Linked DNA regions of Drosophila melanogaster. The protein of the gene in region 2 interacts with the protein of the main gene of each other region in a pairwise test. Each region holds a gene or a part of one and is shown on either strand. Other genes may lie near its edges.

The links. The genes of interacting proteins can lie anywhere in the genome.
Region 1: the proteins of Npl4 (region 2) and CG31988 interact in a two-hybrid assay, tested with the Drosophila melanogaster proteins (one large-scale study listed by BioGRID).
Region 3: the proteins of Npl4 (region 2) and CG11286 interact in a two-hybrid assay, tested with the Drosophila melanogaster proteins (one large-scale study listed by BioGRID).

Annotation. Positions count from the first base shown.
Region 1 is NT_033779.5:21,200,952-21,204,330, forward strand, and holds CG31988 (uncharacterized protein), read right to left. Parts: upstream 1,852-3,379; 5' UTR 1,483-1,851; intron 1,322-1,482; 5' UTR 1,302-1,321; coding exon 765-1,301; 3' UTR 542-764; downstream 1-541.
Region 2 is NT_033777.3:25,620,739-25,625,434, forward strand, and holds the start of Npl4 (nuclear protein localization 4), read right to left. Parts: upstream 3,008-4,696; 5' UTR 2,842-3,007; coding exon 2,740-2,841; intron 2,668-2,739; coding exon 2,434-2,667; intron 2,372-2,433; coding exon 2,214-2,371; intron 2,153-2,213; coding exon 1,624-2,152; intron 1,564-1,623; coding exon 1,365-1,563; intron 1,303-1,364; coding exon 1,142-1,302; intron 1,101-1,141; exon of another isoform or gene 1-1,100. Other genes in the region: Ssadh (succinic semialdehyde dehydrogenase), read right to left, coding at 4,194-4,696. UniProt on the Drosophila melanogaster protein: May be part of a complex that binds ubiquitinated proteins and that is necessary for the export of misfolded proteins from the ER to the cytoplasm, where they are degraded by the proteasome.
Region 3 is NT_033777.3:7,770,319-7,773,696, forward strand, and holds CG11286 (uncharacterized protein), read right to left. Parts: upstream 1,439-3,378; 5' UTR 1,383-1,438; coding exon 1,075-1,382; coding exon of another isoform or gene 1,074-1,074; exon of another isoform or gene 1,016-1,073; coding exon 893-1,015; intron 834-892; coding exon 689-833; 3' UTR 542-688; downstream 1-541.

The sequences.
Region 1 (3,379 bases), on a different chromosome or scaffold from region 2:
TGTTTGTCTTGGCAATTTTTATATGTATACCAAAAGCACTGTGGACACGCCACTCCTTTCACCTTAAAAACTCCCAAAACAGTAACGCCCACATTTTTAAACAATTTTTACTCATTTTTTTCTATCGATATCCCAGAAAAATTATTAAATTTCGCTTTTGCATTCACACCAGCTGAGTAACCGTTATCTGATAGTCGGGGAACTCGTATGTAAAATTCTATCTTGTTCTTAATTTTTTTGTATTAATTCCATATTTATCTAGATTACACATCTGCGTAACCGATTCGTGACTACGCCAAGAGACGGCCACCACTTCATATCGAGAAGAATCGATAAGGCAGTTGTACTGCGATCTTAACGGAAAGATTTTTTAAAGCTCTTCAATTTTTGTTTTTAAAATTAAATAATTCATTATTTAAAGTGCTGCCAAAAGCTTGTTATTTAACGAAAGGCTGCAACATATTGGAAAGGGCTTGCTCGACCTTATCTCACAGTAATCAGAATGTTATTTTGGGTGACCAACACCACTAAGGCAAATCTTAGGGTATACCTGTCTACCCCAATACAGAGACTTAACATATTTGTTTTTTATTTTTATTTAGTGTTTGTGTGTGTATTAAGTTTGTGTGTTAAATGTGTAAGTCTGTTTTCTTGCATGCCTCTAGGCTTACTAAGCTTCGGGAACTATTTCAACATTATTGTAAGCAAGCAAATGAACAATTTGGAGGAAGAGCAAGGATGCACCATGGTTATCCGGGACGATGTTAGCAATTGCAGGCGGGGCACACGGGCTTGTCCCCGTCGATGGTGAAAGTCTGCGAGGTTATAGGATTCTCGCACTTGTTGCACCGGAAGCAATCGCGATGCCACTTCACGTTCATGGCGAGCACCGCTGAGTCCGTTATAGGCTTCTCGCACTTGGCGCACCTGGCAGCAAAGAGGTCCTCGTAATCCTTTTTGCAATAGGGCTTGCCGTCGCGCTCATAGAACGTTTGATTGGCGAGCGGCTTTTTGCAGGCACCGCCGCAGCAAAAGCAATCTTCGTGCCAGCTCTCCCCCATGGCGCAGATGGTTTTTTCAAGGATCGGCTTCTTGCAGCCGGCACAGGTGTAGGTGTACCGCTCCACGAAGCACTTGTTGCACACTGGTTCTCCGCTCTGAACATTGAAGGTGGCATCCAGGATCTGCTCATCGCAGTGGTGGCACAGGAAGTGCTCCGGGTGCCACGTCTTGCCCAGGGCGGTGATCATACGCTTGGTGATGGCCTCCTGGCACTTGTGACACACAATGCTCTCAGTCATTTTGGCTTCTCGATTGGTAACTGCAAAAAAAAAATGTGTTTGTTAATACGCATGTACAAAACAGGGTTGCTATTGATTATCGATTTATTGAAAGAAACAATGAAAGCTGGATAGGCAACGCAAATATCAATGAGAGAAATTATAATTCTGTACTAATTTCAAGATGGGATGTATTTCTTACTGGGTTTGGCGCCTGTTTCACTACTTCCTCTTTCTTTTCGCAATGTTTTTTTCTGAATTCGTTATCGTACTCTTCTCATATATCAAAACAATTTTCACAGGGCCACCGTTTTTACTTTACTTTCTTCTAGATGGTTCACACAAAATGGGAGAACAAAAAGAAGCAATACGGACTTGGACAAAATTTTGATACTGTTTTTTTTTTTTTTTGAAAAATTTTGATGTTTTTATTCAAATAACTATAGAAAACGAAACGAATGAAAACGTATGAATTTAGCAAGACTCAAAAACTGAATGAGATATTCGATGGAAACGCTGGGGGTATGTTTTGACATCTAGAAAATGTACAAGCATCGCCTACTGGACTGTAAAGTATTTGATTTTCCTTTCTAGGCTTTCTATGTTACTGTGACTACTGTTTAAATTTGTATCAAAAGGTTAATTGCCTAAATAGATGGCAATATGCTTGTGATTTCTTTAACATAATTTTATCTCCTTACCGAAAGTTATAAACATACTTTAGTCACTTATACATATTCGAGTATAAGAATTAGTCACACCAAAAACCATTAATAAATGGGTAAAAGGATAATAATAAGGGAGGTCTTCCACTTTCAAGGGTGATTTCTCCAAGCAAAGGGGCGGCATTTCCTTGAAGGCGCTGCTAGAATGTTTCCCAATTTATTATACAAAATTTAATTAAAGCAAAAATCCTGCGAAACTTCCGCATAGCCGGCAATTAACAAGGGCTGGGGTGGTGGCTACTCCTTTAAAGGACTCATCCACCCAAACGACTCGCCAGAAGGGTCGTCGTTGCCTCTTTCATCGTGGATCATGCACTTCGAAAAAATGAATTCGCTGAAAGAAATATTACTAAAACATCCAATTATTAAAAAAACAAGAGAAACAAGTTGTTTGGCAAGTCGAAATATGAAAATATTATATCGAAAGGTTTCTCAAAAATGTGGGCGTGGCAAAAAGTTTTTATGCAAATTGATAGAAAATAAAAATATAAAAAATGAAAAAATATCAACACGTTTTTCAAAAGTGTGGGAGTGACAGTTTTGTGCGGTATGTAGGCGTTAGAATGGGCGTGGCAACATGGGCCAAAAACTTGTCTCTTAAATCTGTGTGCTGAATCTCATCCTTCTATCATTTATAGTTCCTGAGATCTCGACGTTCATACGTACAGACGGACATGGCTACATCGACTCCACTATTGATTTTGATCAAGAATATATATACTTTGTAAGGTTGGAAACGCTTCCTTCTGCCTGTTACATACTTTTCAACGAGTCTAGTATACCCTTTTACTCTACGAGTAACTTGTGTAATAAAATTGAAAGTATTCTATACAGTCTTAGCTACTTTCGTGTTTCTGTATGAGTTTTTTTAAAAGTGTGAGCTGAGTAGGTCTGTATTAACTTATTCAAAATGATTTAGAGAATTATTGAATAATATATCGTGGAGTAATTACCCACAAACCCTGAACTATTGTATAACTTAAGTATAAGTTTTTTCGTGTGCCTGTGGAACATCTTTTGTTCCCTATTGAAGGCCACTCGGTGGAGCACAGCAATGTGTGCGGTCGCTACGCAACGGGGGTGGGGGTGTGGAGCTCCTGGTGGCGCTCGGGAGTCATCGGCGGAGGACATGTCACAATTTGGTTTGCGCTTTGATGCGGTGCATGGAATTTGAAATTGCAGCACCAGTCGGACGGGCGAGCTAGTTGTGTAAGTCGGATGGGAATTTGTGTCAGGCGTCTGTCTGCGTATGCCAAAGAGTGCTCGTATGCCATCCACATCCTCATCCAAATACAGATCCAAATTCCCAGCCCCGAATATAGGTTGAGCTGCTCGTAATTATTTATATTGAGTACTACTAAGAATTTCCCATGT
Region 2 (4,696 bases):
TTTTTATAAACAATTTACAACTTATTGAAACGTTTTGGATGCTATTTTAAATAAAAAAAAGACTATCAATGATCTATAAACATTTCAGATTCATGGACAAGGTGGAAATTGTAACAGACCTTGAGTATTTAAATAAGTTTAGCTTAAGGAAAACGACACTAAATGTGCGTTGGAGCGCTACGACGATACCTGGATATAGTAAATTAGCTACAATAAAAACTTAAAAATTTGAAACCACGAGTAAGGTGAAATCCAAATACATAGCTGACATGTAATTAATGTCAATTCAAGTTAATAATTAATATGAAATAAACCTATTAGCAATAAGTAAATAAACGAGATAGTTTTCGGTGTCTAAATATGCATTTGATGTGATCATAACTAAGGCTATGTTTGTGATGGATGAAATAATGAACGCCAAGAATAGCCATCCATAAAAATAAGGGAATCAAGTAATAATATGACCTTAGCGATGTAAAGGAAGGCAAAGAATCTTTTTAGGAACAAATCGAAATCAATTTTACGAAATTTGTAGACTTATTATACTTTAAATTATTTTAAGTAATCAATCAATCAACGATTAACTTCAATTGAAAAGAAAAAAATCAAATCGAAATCTTATATTTTCCAAAATAATAAAAACGCGTATCACAATTAAGCATTAGATAGAACAAAACAGTTTGGCAAAATAAAAATAAATAAAAAAAAATAAGGGTAATAACTGGAAAATTGTGATTGGCTTGGCAGTTGCTCAGAAAGTTATTTTAACAATTGAATATGCGCTAAATAACAACATTGTTTATGAATGTCCTAGGTATAGGAAAAATAAAATGAACGTTTGAAGGAGAACCCAGAGCAATGATGAGAAGTACAAACCGAGAAGGATAAGGAAAATAATGAAGTTGTTCCATAAATAAATCAACGTAATCCAAGATAATGTAAGCCTCTAGATGTCAAATGTTTGAATTGGCGTTGCTCTTGACACCCAAATTTTCTTTGCATGTATCAAACTGAAAAACCAAATCCCATTCGTATTGATGTCTAAATATGGAAGTTGTTTGTGTAAATGTGTGAACGTAATTCAATAAAGGTTGCCCGATAACTGATTTTGCTTGAATGGGGGGGAGACTTTCTAACTTACCTTATAGAAAACGTCGGGAACATACTGCTTGTCCGTGGATTCACGCACGTAGCCCAGCTCGGGCGCATCCTTAGTGGGTATCAGACAATTATCGCGCACCAGAGCCATGCACTGAGCCGAAACCGCATAGCCTTCCATGTGCACTTGTTTGGTTTTATCTCCTGTAATGTTAAAAACTATTTTGGTACTAGTTCATTAAGCAGTATTAAATCGTGAATCTTACCTGTTACACAAATGGTCACAAACTTAGAGCCGAAGACGCCATTGGAGGCATATTTACACGGATTTGGATGTCGATTCTGCAGCTCGCCAGCTGTGATGCACTCCTGGGCCGTAATAAAGTGCGACTCGATGCCACGGATCTGTTTGACAGTGCCGATACTCGCATCGTCCGTGATGAGATCAGTGAAAATCCAACCAATCTATAAATGTCACAAAAGTCAATACTAATGCTACATAGCTACTGTCTATAACTAACTAACCTTCTTCAGTCCCAGCGCACTGGCTACGGCATCCACATCGTCGGCGAACTCATCCGGCTGAATATTGATCGAATCCCTGGTAGACTCTTGTGGCGGCTCATAAATGGCAGCCACCTTGGCCCGAATGCCCAACGGAACATCAGTGTGCTGCTCGTACGTCCCATACAGATATCCCATGCGCTGGTGTCCTGTGGTGCGCCAGTAGTTGAGGAAGCGCTCCACGATCTTAGTGTTCTCGAACATGACGTTGTCCACGTGGCGATATGTCTGACGATTCAGCGTAATGGCCGACGGCTGGCACTTGGAGCAGATGCCCTTGGGCCATGGTGGATGCTCGCGACATCCCGGCTTGATGCGGCAATTGATGTCGTCGAAGACAAAGTACTTGCCCTGATCCATGCCGGATGTCTGCTTTCGTATGTACGAGTGGAAGGACAAGTGCTTGATATTGTGCTCCTTCAGATAGGACTCATCATAGGGCTCCAGTGCGGAGCAGTGAACGCAACGGCCGTTGGCATTGTGGTGGCACCTACAAAAAGTTATAGGTTGATCAGTTTAATTTTACAATTAATTGTATAATCAAGGCCTACAGCTTGCTATCACGTTCGCGCTTAATGGTGCCATCAGCCTTGCTCAGAGCCTGGTCCACGTCATCTTCGATCACATTGAAGGATGGACGAGCGCTGTTTGGATTGCTAATGGTGCTAGTCTTGAACGCCTGACTGTCCAGGACAGTGGTGCTAGTGCGCTGAGAAGTGGTGAAAAATGCAGGTTAGTCCCCGATCGTTCTGCTCTATATGATCAACTTACGCGCGATGATGTGCCAGCCATCTGTTTTAAGTAGACCATGTCGCCATGCCTCAAGGAAGTCCCCACCAGCTGGGAGCCACTTGCCTGCAGCTCTGTGAGGAAGTTGCGCTCCTTGAAGAGACCAAATCCATCCACCTTCAGGGCATTCTGAACGCTGTCGTACAGATGCTTTAGATTTGACTTGGGCGAGATCTCGATGCGTTTGATGCCCTCCGCCGACTGAACGCGAATTAGCTGGAATTAACAAATGAATAACAGATTCTAATTAGTACTAGGACAGGTGAATTTGGCAATTTCTGATCCAACCGATTGTTTACATAACACAAACAGACGATGGCGCACAAAGGCGTAGGCGAAATTGCGCTTCTTGTAGATGAATTGCTCGAGCAGCAGTGGTGCACAGGCCATTTTCTGGACTTTCTGGACGGGTCACTGGGTGATGGGCGGTTGGGTGGGCTCTTGTGTGGGCGGTGGTGGGTGGTAGATTGGGTAAGGGGGATTGTCAAGTGTAGCTATTAGCTACCAAAGCCTGTAGGGCTTTTTGCTTAGTGTTTCGAACTGTACGTCATGAAGGCGCGAACTTGACTGCGGAAATTTATCTGGCATCGCAATTAAAAACAAATGCAATTCGTTGCCAAAATGAGTGCATAGTTAAAAAGAGAACTAATGCCTGTATATGTAAATTCGGATCTGTAATTGTATGAGCTTTAAATAAAAAATAAAACAGCATTTTGAAAGACAAGCTGCATGCAGTTTTAAAACAAAAAAATTATATTAAATTTGTATTTAAAATTTTAAGTTGTGCTATTTACTGGTATGTGCAGTTTTCTTATTTTACAAAACATATATTTCAAAAATTAATTTTACGCAGAGACATTTTTCTGAGTGTAGCACCCTATCAACCAGAAATTGCTTTATTAGACAGAAATATCCTCAAATGCATTTCCCCCAGGCGGATTGCAGCCAACAATTGTTAATAATTTATTTGGTTTTTGGATCGGTTTTTGGTCTCAAAACCCCCGCACACTCCCCTCAGTCCTACTGCCGCCTAGACTGCACTCTTTCAGTGGAAAATCTACAAGTCATGGTACCATTCAATTTCACCGCCAGCACCTTTGGCCGCATTTCGGGACTTGCAGTGGATTTGCACTGCCGGGAGTGCTTCCAAATGGGTTCATTATGCATTATATGCTTCGCTTTTGCCGGCTGAAATGCACTTTAAATATATTTTCCATACATTTAGGCAACAACAACAAACGCCAGCGAACTGGAAAACCGACATTGTTTGCCGGCTTTTTTGGTGGGTAGCTATAGGGAAACACTTGACCAATTTCACTGCACACACTTCACCAATAAGACATTCGCTTAGTTTCCACCCTAAATGCACTTTTTAATTTTTTATCAACAATTTACTTACAATTTTGTCATTTGGCATTGTAATTTTGTCTCTGTCTCTGTCGCACAGCTGTGGGGATGGCGATAGTCTGCCCAGAGGTGGAGAAAAATCGATTACTCCCGGATATCGATGTCTCTATGATCGGTTTCTTGTCAATTTAAAGCGATTGTTAACCAATCCCAATTAATCGAAAGGTGAGGCGGGCTATTTTAAAAAAGGGAAATTATCTATTAGCTTCAGGTAGACTTTGTGCACATTTATTAATATAGCGGCGTGTTATTCTACAATTAGACAACAATAAACCAATCGCATTCTAGTGGAAGACAGCGTATGAAAGCAGTGGGGGTGATCCCTCCATCGGACTTCAGTCGTACTTGAGGTTGCCCATGCAAATGTACTTGATGTCCACATAGTCGTCGATACCGTGTTTGGAACCCTCCCGTCCGACACCGGACTCCTTGACGCCACCAAACGGAGCCTCTGCTGCGGAGATGATGCCTTCGTTGACGCCGACCATGCCAACCTCCAGTCGCTTGGCCACCCGGAACACCTGCTGCAGATTCTCGCTGTAGAAGTAACCGGCCAGGCCTCTCCTGGTGTCGTTTGCCTTCTTTACCGCTTCTTCTTCGTCTCGGAACCGTATGATGGAGACCACTGGACCAAAGACCTCCTCCGAGTAGAGTTGCGCCGAGGGTGGCACATCTGTGACAATTGTGGGTGCGTAGAAAAGGGATCCCTTGTCGGGCAACGGCTGTCCGCCCAGAATAATGTTCGCCTTCTTCGACCTGGCGTCCTCCACAAAGCCACTGACTTTGTTGAACTGCATCTCGTTGATCAGTGGTCCGATTTGCACATCGCAACCCTGAC
Region 3 (3,378 bases), about 18 Mb from region 2:
GTCATTGTTCACTGCGTAAACATTTGTAAATTTGCTCTTTTTCAGGTGTATACACGGTGCAAACAAAACTCGACTGAACGGCTAAAAAATGGTCATAAAATAGCATTTGACAAATGACGCACTTCCTGTCAACGCACACAATCACAAACGCATACAATCACACACGCACACATTTATCCCTTATCGGTAACTTGTAAAAAGAGGTCGAAACAATTGCATTGCTTTTAAACATGAATCTGCTCACATAGTTACACAGTTTAACAATATAATAATTCATTGTTTGAATTTATTTATGAGCGCAGCTCAAATATTTAATATGCACAAACGGCAGTTTGTTTAAATGTAATTTAGTGGAATAATTAAACAAATGCGGATTTTATTCAAAACTATTTAGTTGCTGTCCGATTGACTAACCTTTTTGTAAACGAGATCCTATTAAAATTTAACAAGTAATCATAAAATACATTTTCTTACAGTTCTTACGCCAGCCATCCAATTTGTTAGCTCACTAACTTTGCAGCGAAATTATAAAAAAGGCTTTAATTGCATAATTAAATTTATTGGCTGTACAATTTTCCATAAGGTAATTTTATCAGTTTTGCAGAGAATAATTGCAAAATTAAATGAGCTAATTAAACCATTTCCAAGTGGAATAAAAAGGCTCATTTACTTTGCAATTGGATCAGTTTTAGCAACCCAGACTTAAATCCGTTTTCAACAGATACTCGACGCGACGTTTTTCCTTAGGAGGCAGTTGAAAGAATTTTGAGACAAAGTTATTCAGTTCCCTCTTTGTATGCAGTGGGGGCCACATTGTTTTATAGCACAGGATTCTAGAAAAGCCACGAAAGTCCCGGTTAATTTATGTTATCATTTCTAACTTTTAGCTTACTTCTTCAGGAAAAACTGGTCGCAGATATTGCGTTGATTGGCAATAATGTGCTCCATTTCGTGAAGGAACTGCCTATCATATTTCGCTTTGGAGTCCAGATACCGCACATAGCAATTAAGATCGCTGGAAATAATGGTGTGTCAGGAAACCTAAGTAACTCAGCAAGTTCTTTCTTAACTGACTACTGAAAGTGCTTTATATCGTAGCTGGGATGCAAACTGGCATCGGCCTCGTCGTGGAACTTGATCCTTGGCTCATACCACTCGTCGAGCTCCTGGAGACGATGGAACTCATATCGGGAAGCAAGTCCTGACAAGGAAACCAACGAAGTGGTCTTCGTCCTAGTCAGGAATTCCTCCACTTTCTTAGCCTTCTCCTGGGCCTTGGCCACAAACTTCGCGTTGAGGCGGTGAACTGGTACATTTTTACCCCGCAGGACATCTCCCGCTGAGGGGATCGACTTAATGGTTACAAGGCTCGTCGCGGACATGTTGAAAATTTGATACTGCTCTTGGGAAACTGGAGATTTTTGAGATATATTAAATGGCTTATTTATGCGGTGACTACTTTGATTCGACAATTAACGCTTTAATAAATACGCCACATAGTTGTCACCGTCAACAACATCTGAGTCCTTGGGGAATTATTGTTTTAAGCCGCTGGTGTTTATAAATATACATGGAAACAGCCGAGAACATCATGAGGATTCATCAGACGATATATGGAAAGGGGTCAGGCTGCTGTATTTTATTTACACGGCCATTCACATTGGCATTTCAAAAATCATTCATTAATTTTTTAATTCAACAATCAGGCTGGTTCAAAGTGGCGTGGAATAAAAACCAAAAAAGGAATCTCTGTAATAATATCACATGCAATTATTGCAGGCAATATGCATGCAATTATGCTAAAGGATATCCATTGTAAAAAAAACTTTGCAAGTGAGCCCGAAATAGAGTTGCGAACTCGAAAGTTCTCAATGCGATTGGATAGCCTTTGTAATTATGATGTCCCTAAAAAAATGAAAAACTAACAGGGCCCTGTTCGAACTTTCATTGACTTATTTGTACCCTTAATAATGGTCCCTCCTAATAATCTATGAGGAGTAGTGCGACTGCTAATCTACCCACATTTGCACCCATTATCCAGGTGTGGTCGAAAATTATTCTCAAAAAGATTCCACACATTTTCGCGCCATTAAACATGCATTCGCGCATTTAATTTCATTTTTTGAACCGCCCGAGTTGACGGAACAGAGCCATCAGCCGGACCACAAGAGTGGCCCACTGAAGGGGGAATAGGAGCTGCCGCCGACAGGAGAGTTGGCCAATGTTTGCACAGCAAAAACATGGCCCAAAACGCTGGGTCTATTAAGAGCACATTTGACCAAAGTCGGGGCTCCGGCACGTGTGCAATGAAAACAAACGAGCCCATTATTGTTACACTTTTCTTTGGCAACCGGCCGCAGAGACCATTAATGATGTGTTATGGCCTCAAGAGGCCGGCCTAGCCGATCCTTGAACTTTGGCCAGGCAGAGCCTGTGAATTGAACTCTAATTGCAGATAATGAATTGCTCGCATTAGGTCAACGAACAGTCGTCCGGATTGCCGCAAAGTGCCTAATGGAAATGCAATGAACTATTTATGGGCATAAGTAGCCAGCAATTGGCTGACTGAAGTTTGATCACGCACTGGGATTATTAATGCCGAGACAGGTCGACTTCCCTTTAAAGTGCTCATCTCATCAATTTGTGGATGTTTTCCCTTGGCCTTTTGGCCAACCGTCATTTTGGTCGCCACAAAATTGACAGCAGCTTTCCCACAGCGCGTAATGACAAAACAGTGACTAAAATGTTAACAACAAATCCAATTTATTTCACCGACCGGCCTACGAGGGACATTAATTACCAGATGGATCACGTATAAGGTATTAAATGCAAACTCAATCTGCCAATGGGGAAATGGCCAAATAACAGAGTGGTTGGTCAAATCTGGGCACACAAACTAACACAATCTGCTACTAATTCCCACAAACTGCATTTAAAGATAGCGGATTTCATTTAATAGAATGTGTTCACCGCCATTGATAATATTAATATAAATATAAATATAAACGTCATTCAGAAAAAGCGTTAAACAATAAACAATAAACATTGACAATGGTCGATGGTCAACGAGAGTGTAAACAACAAGATTTACTGCCATATGCTAGGGGATTACGGGTGTAATTGTACGCCACTTCGAAATGACATTGAACCAGACATGAAAATTGATTTTGGGCCTGATGCCGAGTCCATTACGGAAATAAGTTTGCTGAGCACTCGGACCATATTTTCAAAAACATTTGTTTATTGGGCAATTATTTTACTGGGTTGCCGGCGGACTTCGCCCCGGCAGAATGAAACAATTTCACTTATGCACAAGTATTTCATATTGTCACAAATTCATTTTCATTTCAAGCCCTCGCTCCAGTGTCCCCAAAATTC